Drosophila melanogaster: one gene and its partners. The protein of the gene in region 2 purifies or fractionates together with the protein of the main gene of each other region. This does not show direct contact. Each region holds a gene or a part of one and is shown on either strand. Other genes may lie near its edges. The genes, in order: SmD1, SmD2 and pasha.

The links.
Region 1: the proteins of SmD2 (region 2) and SmD1 purify together in Drosophila melanogaster (affinity purification with western blotting; 2 studies listed by BioGRID, with this or other methods). This does not show direct contact.
Region 3: the proteins of SmD2 (region 2) and pasha purify together in Drosophila melanogaster (affinity purification with western blotting, with the first as the bait; one study listed by BioGRID). This does not show direct contact.

Annotation. Positions count from the first base shown.
Region 1 is NT_037436.4:12,732,569-12,736,527, reverse strand, and holds SmD1 (small ribonucleoprotein particle protein SmD1), read left to right. Parts: upstream 1-1,916; 5' UTR 1,917-2,011; coding exon 2,012-2,025; intron 2,026-2,544; coding exon 2,545-2,905; 3' UTR 2,906-3,164; downstream 3,165-3,959. Other genes in the region: Ptp69D (protein tyrosine phosphatase 69D), read right to left, coding at 1-275, 368-470, 1,279-1,375. UniProt on the Drosophila melanogaster protein: Plays a role in pre-mRNA splicing as a core component of the spliceosomal U1, U2, U4 and U5 small nuclear ribonucleoproteins (snRNPs), the building blocks of the spliceosome.
Region 2 is NT_033777.3:6,344,048-6,347,807, forward strand, and holds SmD2 (small ribonucleoprotein particle protein SmD2), read right to left. Parts: upstream 1,865-3,760; 5' UTR 1,726-1,864; coding exon 1,724-1,725; intron 1,590-1,723; coding exon 1,232-1,589; 3' UTR 964-1,231; downstream 1-963. Other genes in the region: CG17919 (uncharacterized protein), read left to right, coding at 74-202, 484-963; CG18048 (uncharacterized protein), read left to right, coding at 2,146-3,471.
Region 3 is NT_033777.3:31,616,090-31,622,879, reverse strand, and holds pasha (partner of drosha), read right to left. Parts: upstream 4,453-6,790; 5' UTR 4,343-4,452; coding exon 4,111-4,342; intron 3,892-4,110; exon of another isoform or gene 3,869-3,891; coding exon of another isoform or gene 3,823-3,868; intron 3,640-3,822; coding exon 3,436-3,639; intron 3,371-3,435; coding exon 2,421-3,370; intron 2,365-2,420; coding exon 2,110-2,364; intron 2,051-2,109; coding exon 1,763-2,050; 3' UTR 1,521-1,762; exon of another isoform or gene 1,406-1,520; intron 961-1,405; 3' UTR 663-960; downstream 1-662. Other genes in the region: CG1792 (uncharacterized protein), read right to left, coding at 5,169-5,358, 5,421-5,531, 5,608-6,305, 6,359-6,478.

The DNA of each region.
Region 1 (3,959 bases), on a different chromosome or scaffold from region 2:
ACATCTCGATCAAACAGTACAACATGACATCCTGCTTGATTTTTCTCTTAATCCTATCGGGGGTACTTTGCAGGACTTTGGATGGAAGGTATGGCCTAACTTGGAATTCAGTCGAATGGTTTTGCCCCGTTTGGGCTGTGCATGTGTAGTTCCCCGAGTCCTTTATATTGACATCGAGAAGCGCCAGGACATTCTTATACTTGATGAAGTCTTGACTATCGTTGTTTTCACTGCCATCGTCGTTGGATTTCAATGGCTCAGTTCTTATTTTATATCTGAAAAGATCGAAAAATGATCAGATTATTATGTTATTCCATCTTTATGGGGGCAGAAATATTTTTAGATGCTTGTGCAATAAGTTACTAACCTTGTATGGTTTTTATTAATAGTTTGGTTGCCCAGCTTCCATGCTACTGCTTCGTTTTCAGATGCGCACTCTAGAGATACGTTTTTACCTATTTCTGCCCACTCTGTAAATAAATTTCATTAAAATAATTATCAGTTTTGTATATAGACGTAATTATAGAAATTACACCGATCTAGTAGCAACATGCTTCTGTCAGCCTAAAAATATGTTAGACTTAAAATATATCTTCCTGATTAATGGTTGTGTATATTTAAATCTGATTATAGCTTCCGGGTTTTATGCGATTTAGTAAAATATTCAAATTAGAACTATATTGAAGGAAAATTTCTTATTTAACTTTCCTATTAAATTTTAAGTTTTATGATGGACACCAAGAAAGGTTTTTCTGGATGGGCGGTAAAAGCCAGACATAAAAATGAAACTACACCCACAATATTGGCCATAAAACTCGCGGTAGTAATCCGGCGTAATTTCGGAATCAACACGTATTTAGCTGAAGAAATATTACAAATATATATATATGTGATTATATTTCAGATAAATCAGATAGATGTACATAAGTATGTACGCAGAAACATAAAACGTATGTATGTACCGGGAAGTGTGTACATATGTATGCGCGACTACTTTTGTTTAGCCCCAATTGAAATCTCACCCCATCGCCGTAATCTTTGGGCGTTACCGACATAGTTCGAGTGCTACTGTATCTAAGAACTATACAACCGTCTTGTTAACCACCATATCAAATGATAATTCCAGTTTCCAACTTAATGTAAAACACTCCATTCACATTTGCAAAAACAACACAAAAAAAAAATGAGACATTGCAATTTGTTGACACCCACAAACGGTTCTTGATGTACGTATGTATGTACCAATTATGATGTTCGTCTGAGTTTTTGAAACATTACCTTGTTTCACAGATCCTTGCACACATATCGCACAAAGGAAAATATATGCAAGAATTATATTTAATAGCATCGACATGCGTCGGTAGAGTAACGCCATGGCTTGCTAATTTCTCACTCCGAGCCGGATAAATACATATGTCAAAAATTATATTCGATGTCTGCGTTGAGTTAAAAAGCTCTACTGCGTTGAACTAATGTCGCGGCGAGTGCAAAACACCGACAAATGTGTTTTATTAAAAACCAGTTAATAGACGGCGACCGCGAATAAGTATTAATCGTTATTTTCTTAACACTGGATTGTTTTTTTTTCGCGATATGCGGCGTTATCGATAAGTCAGTCGAATATGTACCCTTGGCTGCGGTTACCAAGGGATTTGGAACAACTGAATTGGAATATAATCGTATATTATAATAATATAATCGTAATCGTATTTATTAACATGAGTAATTAATAAGACACAAGTATTTATTTATAGAGCAGTATGACATTAATTGTTACTTAATTGTTGCAAATTTATAATTTATTTCTGGAATGCATTAATTCATTTATTACTTCATATTCACTTTTATTACGATTCCGTTTGGTAGCCGATATATTTTACAATACCAATGAGCGTTGCTATCTTAGCACACGATACAACAGTTCACCGCAACCACCAAATTCCAAGTAAACTAGCCGGCATTGTTTGTGCGCGTTTTTTTTTGCAGAAAACCACCAAAAACACATAAAAACATGAAATTAGTAAGGTATGTTATGCGTCATTTACCTAAACTAAAACTAAACTTGTTAGCAATGCGTGCAGTATAGTTTCATTCAGTTTTTGAGTTCTGCGATTCTGCACACATGTATGCATGCAAAAGCGATGCTCCCATTTGTTGTTTTTGTACACAAAATTTAATTTAATACGAATGTTGTTTTGATCTGTTATTATAATAGTTTTCCATTATTTACTTGTATCTGGTAACAATTCTTGCACTTTAAGTAGCATTTTGCATAACTATATTCAATGCAATCAACGCTCTTAATCCAAGGCCACCAAATACAAGCTACCTTTAAATTCGTACTAATTTGCTAAAAGTAAAGGCTCTACTAAGTATATTTCATCATAAAGGCTGCTTGCATACACCTTATTGTATCTCATTTTTCAATCACCCAATAAGATATTTGTTTCTACCTATAATAGCCTTGCATCTCTGAAATGCTGCATCTTTGCAACAGGGATTTCCTTAATTTCGTTTACTAATCTTCCCGTTGATGCATTACAGATTCCTTATGAAGCTAAGTCACGAGACCGTGACCATCGAACTGAAGAACGGCACCCAGATCCACGGCACCATTACCGGCGTGGATGTGGCCATGAACACTCACCTGAAGAGCGTTCGGATGACGATCAAGAACCGGGATCCCGTCCACCTGGAGACGCTGAGCATTCGCGGCAACAACATCAGATACTTTATACTGCCGGACAGCCTGCCGCTGGAGACGCTCCTCATCGACGACACCCCGAAGTCGAAGACAAAAAAGAAGGACAGCGGCCGCGTGGGAAATCGCGGCAGGGGCAGAGGCGCCCGCGGACGAGGTGGTCCACGGGGTCGCGGAAGGGGCCGAGCTTCAGGCCGACGTTAATCTTTGTAACAGCTACATCTAATAAACAATATTCGATAAATATAGAATATAAATATTCTTTGGATAAATCCACACTGTATGCATTTACTATGTACGAACAACTGACAAATGTCTTCAGCTAGTAAAGAAACTCCATCTGAATATGTATATTGTTAAAAATCACTCTGTGTAGTAGCTCAGGAAAAATGTGTTTACTTGGCAACAAATTGAAAGAAGACTCCCGCCATTAAATTATGATTAAAAATGTTTGAAAGTTTGTAAAAACGCTTTTTTATACTTTTAATTGTTTTTGGACGCACAAAATGTCTTTCAAATGTTCAACAATAGTAGGAGAAAACTGTGTTACTTAAGCTAGGCTATAGATTCAAATATATTTACTACTGCCATTAGGATGCGTGGTGAACAATGAAACAAACGACAATGTTAAACCCATGAAATGGGCATCGCCTTAAAACTGGTTAACTTAAGAGATTCTACTTTAAGTAACGGATTGGAAAACATATCAAAAGAAACAATAGATATAGGGATAATGGAGTAACCCTCACTTTAAAACCCATTATTAAGGACAAAAAAATATAAGTGATTTGTTTAAGTTTTCAAAGGCAGGTTGAACCGGTTCCGATAATATATCGAAATGTCAAATTGTGGAACTTGCTCCGATCAATTATCGCTATTCGGGTTCGGATACCCGCTAAAAGTAAGGCGCCAATTTTAAATCTTAAAATTTAAATTAGGAATGTCTTTTGATAACACAATTTTTTATTTTATATTTTTAACTCAAGTTCACAATTGCTCAAGCTTCACAGCTCTATTGCTTTCCTTTGAAGTCTGGTCAGAGCCGGGAATTTGTATATATTTGTTCGTTTATGGTTTAATTGAGAATGTGATTTTGGCTGCAGCTGTTGTTGCTTTGCTTTGCATACTAAGTTTGTTTGTTTAATAATCGTGCACCATATATATACATATATATATACACTTGACGGTTATTGGATCTCTGCAGTGTTAGGATTGTTAAAAGTCGTAACTTATCGTAATTTATGCTTTTGATGAACAT
Region 2 (3,760 bases):
TATTCGAAAGCGGAGCTCCTATATATTGGTTTTCTCAAGATCTTATCGTCTACCGAATAATCTCTCCACAAAGATGCTGCGAGTGCTACTGCCATTGGTGGGCTGCCTACTGGCCGTTCAAGCTGGCTCCGTGGAGGAGGTTTTCAGATCCCACCAGGTGGTACCCGACGTTATTCCCGAGCCGCCGAACCAGTTGTTAAAGGTGGGGCCACTAACAAAAGCACACTAAAAAGATCCAAATATATAGAGGATATCTTTGTCTTAATAAATTGGATCCGAATAGTATGTACTCAACTACGTGCTTGCAGACCAGGTTAAAATATTTCAAACATTTAACACCCGAGCTTAATAGAAATCTAGATAAATATCTCGTCACAACTTTCTGATCAAAGGTCAGAAGGTAGCTAACTTAAAGTAAAGTAGCTGATAGATCGCAACAATGTAAAAATCAAGCAAATAACTGTGAAATCGTTCCTATTCAAGGTCACGTACAGCAACAACCTGGTGGCCAAGGATGGAGTGGAGCTAACGCCCACCCAGGTTAAGGATCAGCCAGTCGTGGAGTGGGACGCGCAGCCCGGGGAGTTCTACACGCTCATTATGACGGATCCCGATGCCCCCAGCCGAGCGGAGCCCAAGTTCCGCGAGTTCAAGCACTGGATTCTGGCCAACATCGCCGGCAACGACTTGGCAAGTGGTGAGCCCATCGCCGAGTACATTGGCTCCGGCCCGCCCCAGGGCACGGGTCTGCATCGCTACGTCTTCCTGCTGTACAAGCAGTCCGGCAAACTTGAGTTCGACGAGGAGCGCGTGAGCAAGAGATCCCGCAAGGATCGCCCCAAATTCAGTGCCGCCAAGTTTGCCATCAATCACGAGTTGGGCAATCCCATTGCTGGAACTTTCTACCAAGCCCAGTACGACGACTATGTTCCAAAACTGCACAAGCAACTTTCGGAGAATTGATTCCGTTTTAATCTTAAACAGATACTTTAGGAAAAATCGATTAAAAGATGTTAATCAAAATATAAGAAATTGCGATTACGGATTGTACTTTCGTTATACAAATTTATAATGGGATATGTTACTGGGATGGGATATTTTCCGTCGTAAATTATAGCTCACACTTTTAATTAATGGCACATTTTGGTCCACAGAACTTATTTGGTTGATTTACGGATTTATTAACTGAAGTTGATGGATATTGGTTGCTGTACGCTATCGCTATGGTAGACTACTTGCCGGCCGCCGTGGCCAGGGGATTCCTTAGGACCAGGATGACAGAATCGCCTCGCAGGAACATCTTCGATATGAACCGATCCTTGTTCACGGGCTTCACCTTCTTCTTGCCCTTACCGGTCCGCGGCAGCTCCGTCCACATCTCCTTCACGTTTTCCAGTACCATGTTGCAGTGCCGATCGAAGGCCTTTACCCTGCCCAGCAGCTTCTTGTTGTTGCGGCAGTTGATGAGCACCTGGGTGTTGTTCTTCACGGACTGCGTGAGCACGGACAGCGGGCCGGTGTTAAACTCCTCCTCCTCCTGCCGCGCCAGCTCCTCCGGGGTCAGCTCCGATTTCGGTTTCACAAGAGCCCTGCAGAGAACACAGTACATTAGTATTTCACCCACAACTCGAGCGTGGTGCTAACAATGCAAAATGCCGGCGCACATGCCGCTGCCAGTTACGCCATTTCCGATGGTTTGTCCCATCTGCCCCGGGATACTTACATAGCGGATTATAACTATGGCTTGTTAAATGATGTTGATAGTCTTCTTGTTTCGCTTCTCAGTTGGTTTTCTGCGTTTATTGTTGGCAAAAGTATTCAGCGCGGCTTCGTTTTTTTTGCAGTGTTACCAGCTCTGAGGACGTTTGCACTCGACCAGCCCTGAATTTCAAAGCTAACTATCGGCGTTTGGCATTCGCGTAAATTAAATAAACTATTATTTTGAAAAATCAAGCTCAATTTGAGTTTTTTATTAAAAAACTTATTAAAATATTCAATGTAAGAAGTGTAAACATATTTAAGACCATAGTTAAAACATTTTTGTGAAAAGTTGGTAATAGTGTTATCTAGTGTGCCAGCCTTGGTCACACTGCCTGGCACGAGTTCCGAATTGGGAGGAATTTATTTTGAAAATAAAAGTAACGAATGGAACCTGTGAAAGAGACGATGACCACTGTCAAGGCGGAGAAGCCGGTAACCACCACTTGCTCCTACTGGGTGTTACGCAAAAAGCGCCGCTGCAAGATGACTGCAAACAAGGGCAGTGAGTTTTGTGGAGCCCATGCCTCATCGGCAGCCACCACTGCAACTTGCGATGAAAAAGCTAGAGAAGATTCCTTCCAGGAACGTATTCCCTGCCCGCTTGATCACAAACATACCGTGTTTAAAAGAAAACTAGCCAAACACTTGACCATTTGCAATGCCAGGGATCAGGAAAGTTCACTGCCCTACATTGTAAAAGGAGTGAATTCTGGAGACAATCTTAAGGAAACAGACGAAGATTTGAACAAATTCAATCAAATAAAACTGCACGAACTGGCGGATGAAGAGTTCTACAGTCTGATCGACAAAGTTAAGAATCTGTATGACAAGCACATCAATTCCAGCATACAGGAACTGCAGCTGGAGCACGAATCCCTAAAGGAGGAACTTAGTCGCAAGGACTACGGCCAGGAAACGCTACGCCAGCTCACCCAGACCACTAGCTTGCTGGGCATCCTGGAACACGATCACCAGTTGATGGATCACACGAGCTATATAGAATTCGGAGCCGGAAAGGGACAATTGGCCTACTTTTTGGCCACCGTATTGCAGGAACAGAAGTTGAGTCACTCACAGGTGGTCCTCATCGATCGAATGTCCCTGCGGCACAAGAAGGACAACAAGTTGGCCAACAGGGAGGTGGTGCAACGTATCCGTGCTGATATCGCTGATCTTAAGCTTTCTGCTCTGCCGGAGCTAAAGAAAACCCAACGAACGGTGGCTTTTTCGAAGCACCTCTGTGGAGCAGCTACAGACTTGACCCTGAGATGTATACTCGGTGATGGAAATGCCAGCTCGGACTACGTTCTCATCGCCCTGTGTTGTCATCATCGCTGCTCCTGGCGCTCCTACGTGGGACGCAAGTTTCTTCAGGAAGCTGGAATTGGACCACGGGAGTTCGTTATCCTAACCAAAATGGTCAGTTGGGCAGTTTGTGGCACGGGCTTAAGCCGAGAGCGGCGTAAGGCCATGGAATCGGCTGACTTTCAGCTCACCGAGACGAACACGCAGCGTCTAACTCGCCAGGAGCGCGAACAAATTGGCCAACAGTGCAAGCGGGTTCTGGATTATGGACGACTGGAGCATCTACGATCCCACGGATATCAAGCAGAACTTAAGTTCTATGTTCCCAGGGATGTGACTTTGGAAAACGTGGTTCTGCTGGCCAGACCGACCAGCCCTAAGCTGGACCAAAATAAATGCTGTTGACTTAAGTAAAATGACTTTTCTCCTTCCTTAATTCATATCCTGCTCCTGGATTTAAATTTTTCATTATTTACTAAAAACTAGTGACGATCGCACCATCGCCATAAAAATGTTCTGATGTCATCTTTTGTGACGAAAAATATTTAACTAGGAAAATGCAATGTCATATTTTTATTTCGCTTTATTAAAATATTTATTAGCTAGGAAGACATTTTTATTGAAGCGGTCCGCATAGGTAATTTTTTTTAGTTGTAGAATTAATGTTTTTTATATCGAGCTATTTTGCACAATT
Region 3 (6,790 bases), about 25 Mb from region 2:
TATTGAATTTTCCAGCATTCTCCGCTGACACTTGGCGCCTAATGCGCTACCGCTTACCTTCGCCTACTGCTGTTGCTCCAGTCCTTGTTGCTGCTACTGGCTTGCTCCTGCGTCCTGCGTCCTGCGTCCTCCGCCTTCTGCTGCTCCGGCGGCTGCTGCTTACCGATTCACTGGCTCTGACGGAAATTCCAATGGAATTTGGCATAATTTACATATCTCCGAGTGCTTGGGCCAAGCGGGCCAAATGCATTGGACACGGTGTACAGGAGTGCGTGTGTGTACCCGATTTTCCGTTTATTTTCCGAGTGCTCCGTCTTTCACCGAATATCCGCACTTTTTTCCCAGGCCCGATTTCTGGGCCGCTGGGCGAAAAATCAAAAACGGCGCGCGTGTCGTACCGCTTGCTACATCCACTGATTTGACGCGCGACCCACGCACTTGCAACACGCGACACACGAGCACCGGGAATCGAACGTCGAGAGTCGAGAATCGAGGAACTGGGGGGCTATGAAGTTGGTTTTTTTGGGGGCACCGAGGGATGAGGGGGCAACTAAGATGAATGTCAATAAAAATGATTCTGCTCTGCACTGCAGTTGGCCTTTTTTCAGCTGTACCACCGAATTCACCTCTTGGCTTTCTGTTTTTCTCCCCGTTTTTTTTTTCGGTCTGTCCCGAGTTACTGTGATTCAATTACAAATCCCAGACGAAAGTCCTGAGGATAGGAGCGCCGGGAAGTGGTTTTCTCGCCACGCGAAGAATCCGTACTGAAGATACAGATATGGCCTGCGAATTGGCAAGTCAGAACTCGCCACAATTCATCTCGCAGCATGGCTGCTGCGCAAAATCCGGGATCTGCGCCTGCGCCGCTCTCCCGCGCTCTCTCTCTCGGACTTTCTCTCTGCGACTGTCTCTCCGCATTCTCCGTGGTGGGTATGTGTGTGTGCCACGCTCGTTGGAATGCTATAAAAAAGGAAACGTTAGAATGAAATGAAAATGTAGCATAATTTATGACTGCATCGTCTTTTAAATAATTGCACGCACACACACCTACGAACCTACACCCTGCCCACCGCCTTAAATATTAACATCCACTCACCTAACGACCGACCGCCTAAAAACACCCGAGAATCCTAATGGCCATGTAAATATGCATTTTTTTATATTCCATACGACTTTTTAAAATGTCTTCCAAATTGGTTACGGGTCAATGGTGTTTGAACGTTCCAAGAATGAAAGCGATACGAGAAGATTTACGAGGAAATTTGATAAACAAATCATGAGCAAATAATTGTCCTGCTGTCTGCCCAAATGAATAGTTGTCAAATACTTAAGAACTCTACTTTTTTAATTGGTATTGCAGATAAAGATCTTAGACGAACATCTCTATACTCAAATATAAAGGACTGCGTTTTTAATAGTATTTTATTCAAGCTTATATTATACAAGTGAAATTGAACCCCTAATCTTAGCTATTGCAAGCATGAACTACTTATATTTGGCAAATTTAGTGATGAATTTACCTTAATGTAAAACCACTTGATAGGCAATTGTTCTTCATTTTTGGCCACTTGCTAAAGCCACTTCAGATTAACCAGCTCAGATAGATGAAGCCGATTTGAAATCAGTTCGTATGCCTCTAGAGAACGCGTCGTTGTTGTCATTAGCTTTTCGAATATGGAAATGGGTGGGTAACTAAGAGACTAGGAGGTTGTCATGCACTACTAGAGAATCAATGTTGGCGAGAGAGATGTGTGTTTCCCAATCAAAGTTCCACGTTGTTCAAATTGGACCCGGAGGAAGTGGGCAGATCGACGTCGCTTGGCGGCACAAAAGTGCCCATGGTTAGGACGCTCTCCTGCTTGGCACACAGTTTCAACATCTCGGATTTAAGTTTGTCCAGTATGGCGTAGTTGGGTTGGTTGACTGCCGCCTTGCTCTGCAGCACGGTGATCTCCTGCTCCTCCAGCTTCTTCTCCTTGAAGGTCTTTATGGAGTTGTTGCCGTAGAGGCGCAACAAGGAACCCCAGGTCTGGATGTGCGGATGCAAAATCTGACGAAAGGTTAACTCAATAGCTATAAGTAAAGTTATAAAGAAATATCAATGCTCACCTGGAGGATTGCTTGCGAAGCCAACTGCTTGCCCTCCCGCTTGTTTTTACACACCACTTTGGCAGTATGTTTGCCCACGGTCATGGTAAACTCGTTCTTGTTATTCGCGGTGCGGTTGATCTCCTGGCTGATCTGAACATCGCTGCCGTAGTTGCGCTGCAAGCAAGTCAGCAGAATGGCGTTGGGAGATGGCTCCGTCGTCTTGTTGCAGAATTCGGTGACTCGGGGATCTTCGATGCGGATGTCATCGAAAACCTGCAAGAAATATAAAAATAAGAAGTGGTTCCATTTTCTATAGGTAGATTGCTTACAGACAGATCGCTCTGCGCTTTCTTCGCAGTGCCGCTCTTTTGGTCCTTATTGTTGCCCGTTATCTTGTCCTTGACATCGGGAATGAGTATTTCCAGCGTTTCCCGAGCCGCCTCTGACTTGGCCTGCTTTTTACTGGTGCCATAGCCCGTGCCATACTTGAGATTGTTCACCGATACGGTGGCGGAGTAAGGCGTGGCTGCGTTTTGGAGCTCCTTGAACTCATAGGTGGGCTGCGTTTTCAGAGCATGCTGCACGTACTCGTGCAGGATGCAGACGAAGCTCTTGCCATTGGGATTCATGATCCACTCCTTCCGACCGCGCGGGTTCGTTGATCCTTCGCCAGCATTCGCTAGTATTGGGAACTTAATAAGCTTAGTGCCATCCGGCAGCGTGGGTCGTTGAATATTCTTGATGTGTTTGCGGTTTTTGGTGAACTTGCGGCGAGCATTCCAACTCCGAAATCGCAGCACACGAATCACCTTGAATTTGAAGAGTTTCTGGCAGTAGGTGTTTAGTTGCTCCGGTGTAATGGATTCCTTTTGGGTATTCTCGTTGACCGTAACAATTTTAGCAGCCGGCATAAGGGCAGTTATTCCATCTGGTTGGGTTTTGGAATCGGTGCTGCCTTCGTTGTTCTCTTTTCCCTCCACGTCCATGGCTTCGGCCGGTAAAGCGGAAGCTCCGGCCATGGGACATACAGCCACTGGCGGCGCTCCATCCGTCTTTTGTTGCTCCACCTCCGACTCTTCCTCCAAAGCCCGCCTGTAGTTAAGACAGGGGATTGCTCCCAAGGGCACTGCATGCTTGCGGGCACTTCCAGTGCCGAGAAAATAGGGCCTCGATGCGCAACAGACGCGAGTTTTGCGATGCAAGAAGAGCGGCATTCCACTGTTGTGGGTCACCTGCACCCATCCCTCGGGTAGGACTTCAAAGTGGTTGAGGCGCTTTTCTAAAAGAGTAGTCACATTAAAATACTCGTCATCTTGGACACTTGGTTCGACGAAAAGCACTGACCTTCCAGCACAGTCTTGAAACGCTGCTCGTATTTGGGCTGCTTTGACTCGCGGAGCTCTTCGGGCAGCTTCTCGTCCAGCAGATTCTCGATCTCGTCATCATCGAATTCCGAGGAATCGTATTCTTCGCCGTCACCATCAGCCGCCTCTTCCTCCTCGTCGCCTCCTTCTCCATACCTTCCGCCCTGCTGCTCGCTAGCGTTGTCTGGTTGCCATGTAAGGAGATACAATCACGGATAAATAAGTTGTCTGTTTGTCTGGGAAATGGAAAACCAGCCGCGAAGTTGATGGCCATCTTCACGGAATATTTGAATGAATGCCATTGGCACCTAATTGTCTAGCTCTTTGATGTTTAATTAAAGTGATCCTTCATTATTACTGGCTCTACCTGACGCAACTGGACAAGCCAGTCGGATAATGGGTATCATGCGCATGGAACTGTCCGCACAAAACTGCCACCACCTGCCTTACAATAAGATAAAGGAAAACTGAAGCTGCTATATCAGGGTTTAACCTGCCGGCTGACTCTTTTATCAGCCTCCTGTATTTGCACAATGATAGGCCCCCAAGATCTTGAGATAAGAACTGCGCCTGCACTGTGAAACAAAAGGTGGTAATTGCACAGCCTGTGATCTGGATGACCTGAGTGAATATCCGAGCTTCGTTTCCGACTCACCTGACTCATCATCCTCATCGCTGCCAGAGCCGACTTCGTCGAGAACCTGGAACTGTCGCAGTTGCTGGTCCATGGGTTCGTTCTGCAGCTCGTTGTCCCTGGTCCGCCGCATTTCCTCGATGGCGCTCAGCGAAAAGCCGGCCACCTTGAGCTCCTGCTCCTCGTCCTCCAGCCGGGGACGCTTGCGGACCTGCCCAGAGTCCGGGCAGTCGGCCAGCGGCTTCTCCGCCATTGTATTGGATGTGTGTGTCTAAAGCGGGAGGGGTTTAGTGCGGACTGATCGGAACTGTCTAGTAATGCTGTCCCGGGGCCAATCTCGCCAATAACCAATACTGAGAGCATCCAACGCCTTGCAATTGATTTCTCATTGGAAGTGCCACATTGGTTAAGCCAGAAGCCCCGCCGGAAAATTCTGCGACTGCACTTTCGCGGATTGTAAACGATGCTACTTGCTGCGTCTTTCGCTATGGATTCTGCCTAATTGTCGGACAAAATCCCAAAGCAAAAGCTGCGCAATTCAAGTACGAAATCGAGATTTTAGAGAGAGGATGTTAGTTGGGAAAAATAACCAAACAAGCGAAACAAACACCACATGCAGTTTTGCGGAAACAGATTGACACTTTTGAATTGGGGTTAGTGATGGTTCCAGGTATTATCCTCCGGAGAAGAACGTTTGGTCTTAGGATCTATTGTAACAGCAGCTCCAAGCACTTTTCTACTGATTTTGCAAGAAATTTTGCAATTTAAAGACGCCCCCTAATTTATTTAGTGCAAGACAGTGTGACCAGGCTCATGACATTTTAAAATGCTGGCTACTCCCCAAGCCGGTAAACAATGTTCGAATTTAGATTTTATTATATTTTAAAACATAAAAATAATGTAACTAAAAATTAGTGCGCAGCCTAAGTAAGGTAATCTCTATTGGCCATTTTGAAAAAATCAGTTTTTATTCAACACAGCCATATTTGAACATATTCCATTTTCGATTAATATTAAGTGCATTGAGTATTAATCCGAATATCAGATCGGGGATCCATTGATTTTTAGTACAGTTTATCCTAAGATCCACTTTTTCCTAGTAAAGCCTCATCCTTAGCCCCTGTCTGCATGCCGTTACTGGCCTTCACGTCCAGTTCCACAGGATTGTCCAGTGCCGCCTGGGCGCTTGAAGTGTGGGCGTGACCTTTTGAGCGATAGTGGGAGGTCAGGTGGGAGCGGCGAACGAAGGAGACTTGGCAGGAGTCGCAGCTGAAAAACAGATAAACAGAGTCAAGGATCCTCAATAAAACTTCAGGTAACTAAGATCTTACTGGAACGCTCGCACTCCGGTGTGACTCAGCATGTGCGTGCGGAGTTTTCCGCTCATGGCAAAGCTTTTATTGCATTCCTTGCACGTGAAGGGCTTGACATTCGTGTGGCGCCTGATGAAATGGAAAGTGGTCAGAAATATGTGAAAAGCATTAGACGTTTCATGAATGGGAACGAGTTCTGTCGTACATGCGTTCGTGCTGGATGCGTCCGCTGGCGTTGCTGTAGGTTGCCTCGCAGTAGCGACACTGAAACAAAGCATTCCCCGCATGCAGTTCTTGGTGGCGCCGCAGAAGCGTAGCAGTGTAGAACTGCTGGGAGCACTGGTCACAGGCAAAGCTCTTTACGCCGGTGTGTCGGAGGAGGTGCAACTTGAAGTTGCTGGGGCAGGTGAAGTGCCGGCCACACTGCTCGCATATGCAATCCCGCTTGCGTCGCTCCCGCTTTAGGGCCACCACTTCGTCCTCGGTGAGTCTGCTCCACTGGGTGCGCGTGGCCTGGCTATTGTCCGCAAACTTAACGGAGGTAAAGACTGTGGGCGTGGTCTTTGTACTTCTGCGGAGCTTCTTCTCCTGCGCAGGAACCTTCACTTGGGGCTGCTCGTTCTGCTCACATATTTCGTACGGCTCTTCCGTCTCTTCCAGCAGGTGTTCCTCGGGTAGAAGGTCTATAACCTCGATCTCGGTGACCTCTTCAGCGTACTGAATCTCCTTCTCCACACCAACTGCGAAGGATTCGATCAATTCCGCGTTCCCCAGGTTGGGACTTTCCTGCAGCGTTTTTTGGGTTCGAATCACACGTTCCCGGAAAGCAATCGCCGTCTGCAGGTCCAATTCGCAGGGTGAGCAAATAAAGGGGGGCAGCTCGTTCCCGGGTCCGCCGAGCAACTACGGATAATCCAGACTTAAGTTTGAAAACACAAAAATAGAAAGGTACTCACAAACAAACCAGTAAGAACCTCGATCTGGTGCAGCATTACGGAATTGGGCTCCTCGAAGAGGTTACTGGGCGTCGAACAGAAAATGAACAGGCCGCAAGTCCGGCAATTACGATTCGGCATTTTTAAACTTATTTATTTAGTAACACTTAAGAAAAAATTAATCAGAAAATTGCTCTGCTTTTCATATTGTTGCTCCTTTGGCAATGCCAGACTGTTATAGCTAAGAAGATGTGGCACCGCTGCCACAACATCGTAAGGGGGATTCCTGAACAGATCTTAATTTTTAATTCGATTGATTATTTGATATTACTTTATTTGATTACTCGCTTTTCTCCATTCGATTTAAGAGTTCATTTCAAAAATATTACCTTATTTGCAGTGCTTACGCAAAGAGAATTCCTTACAGTGTAGATTCAGGTGGCCACTATATAG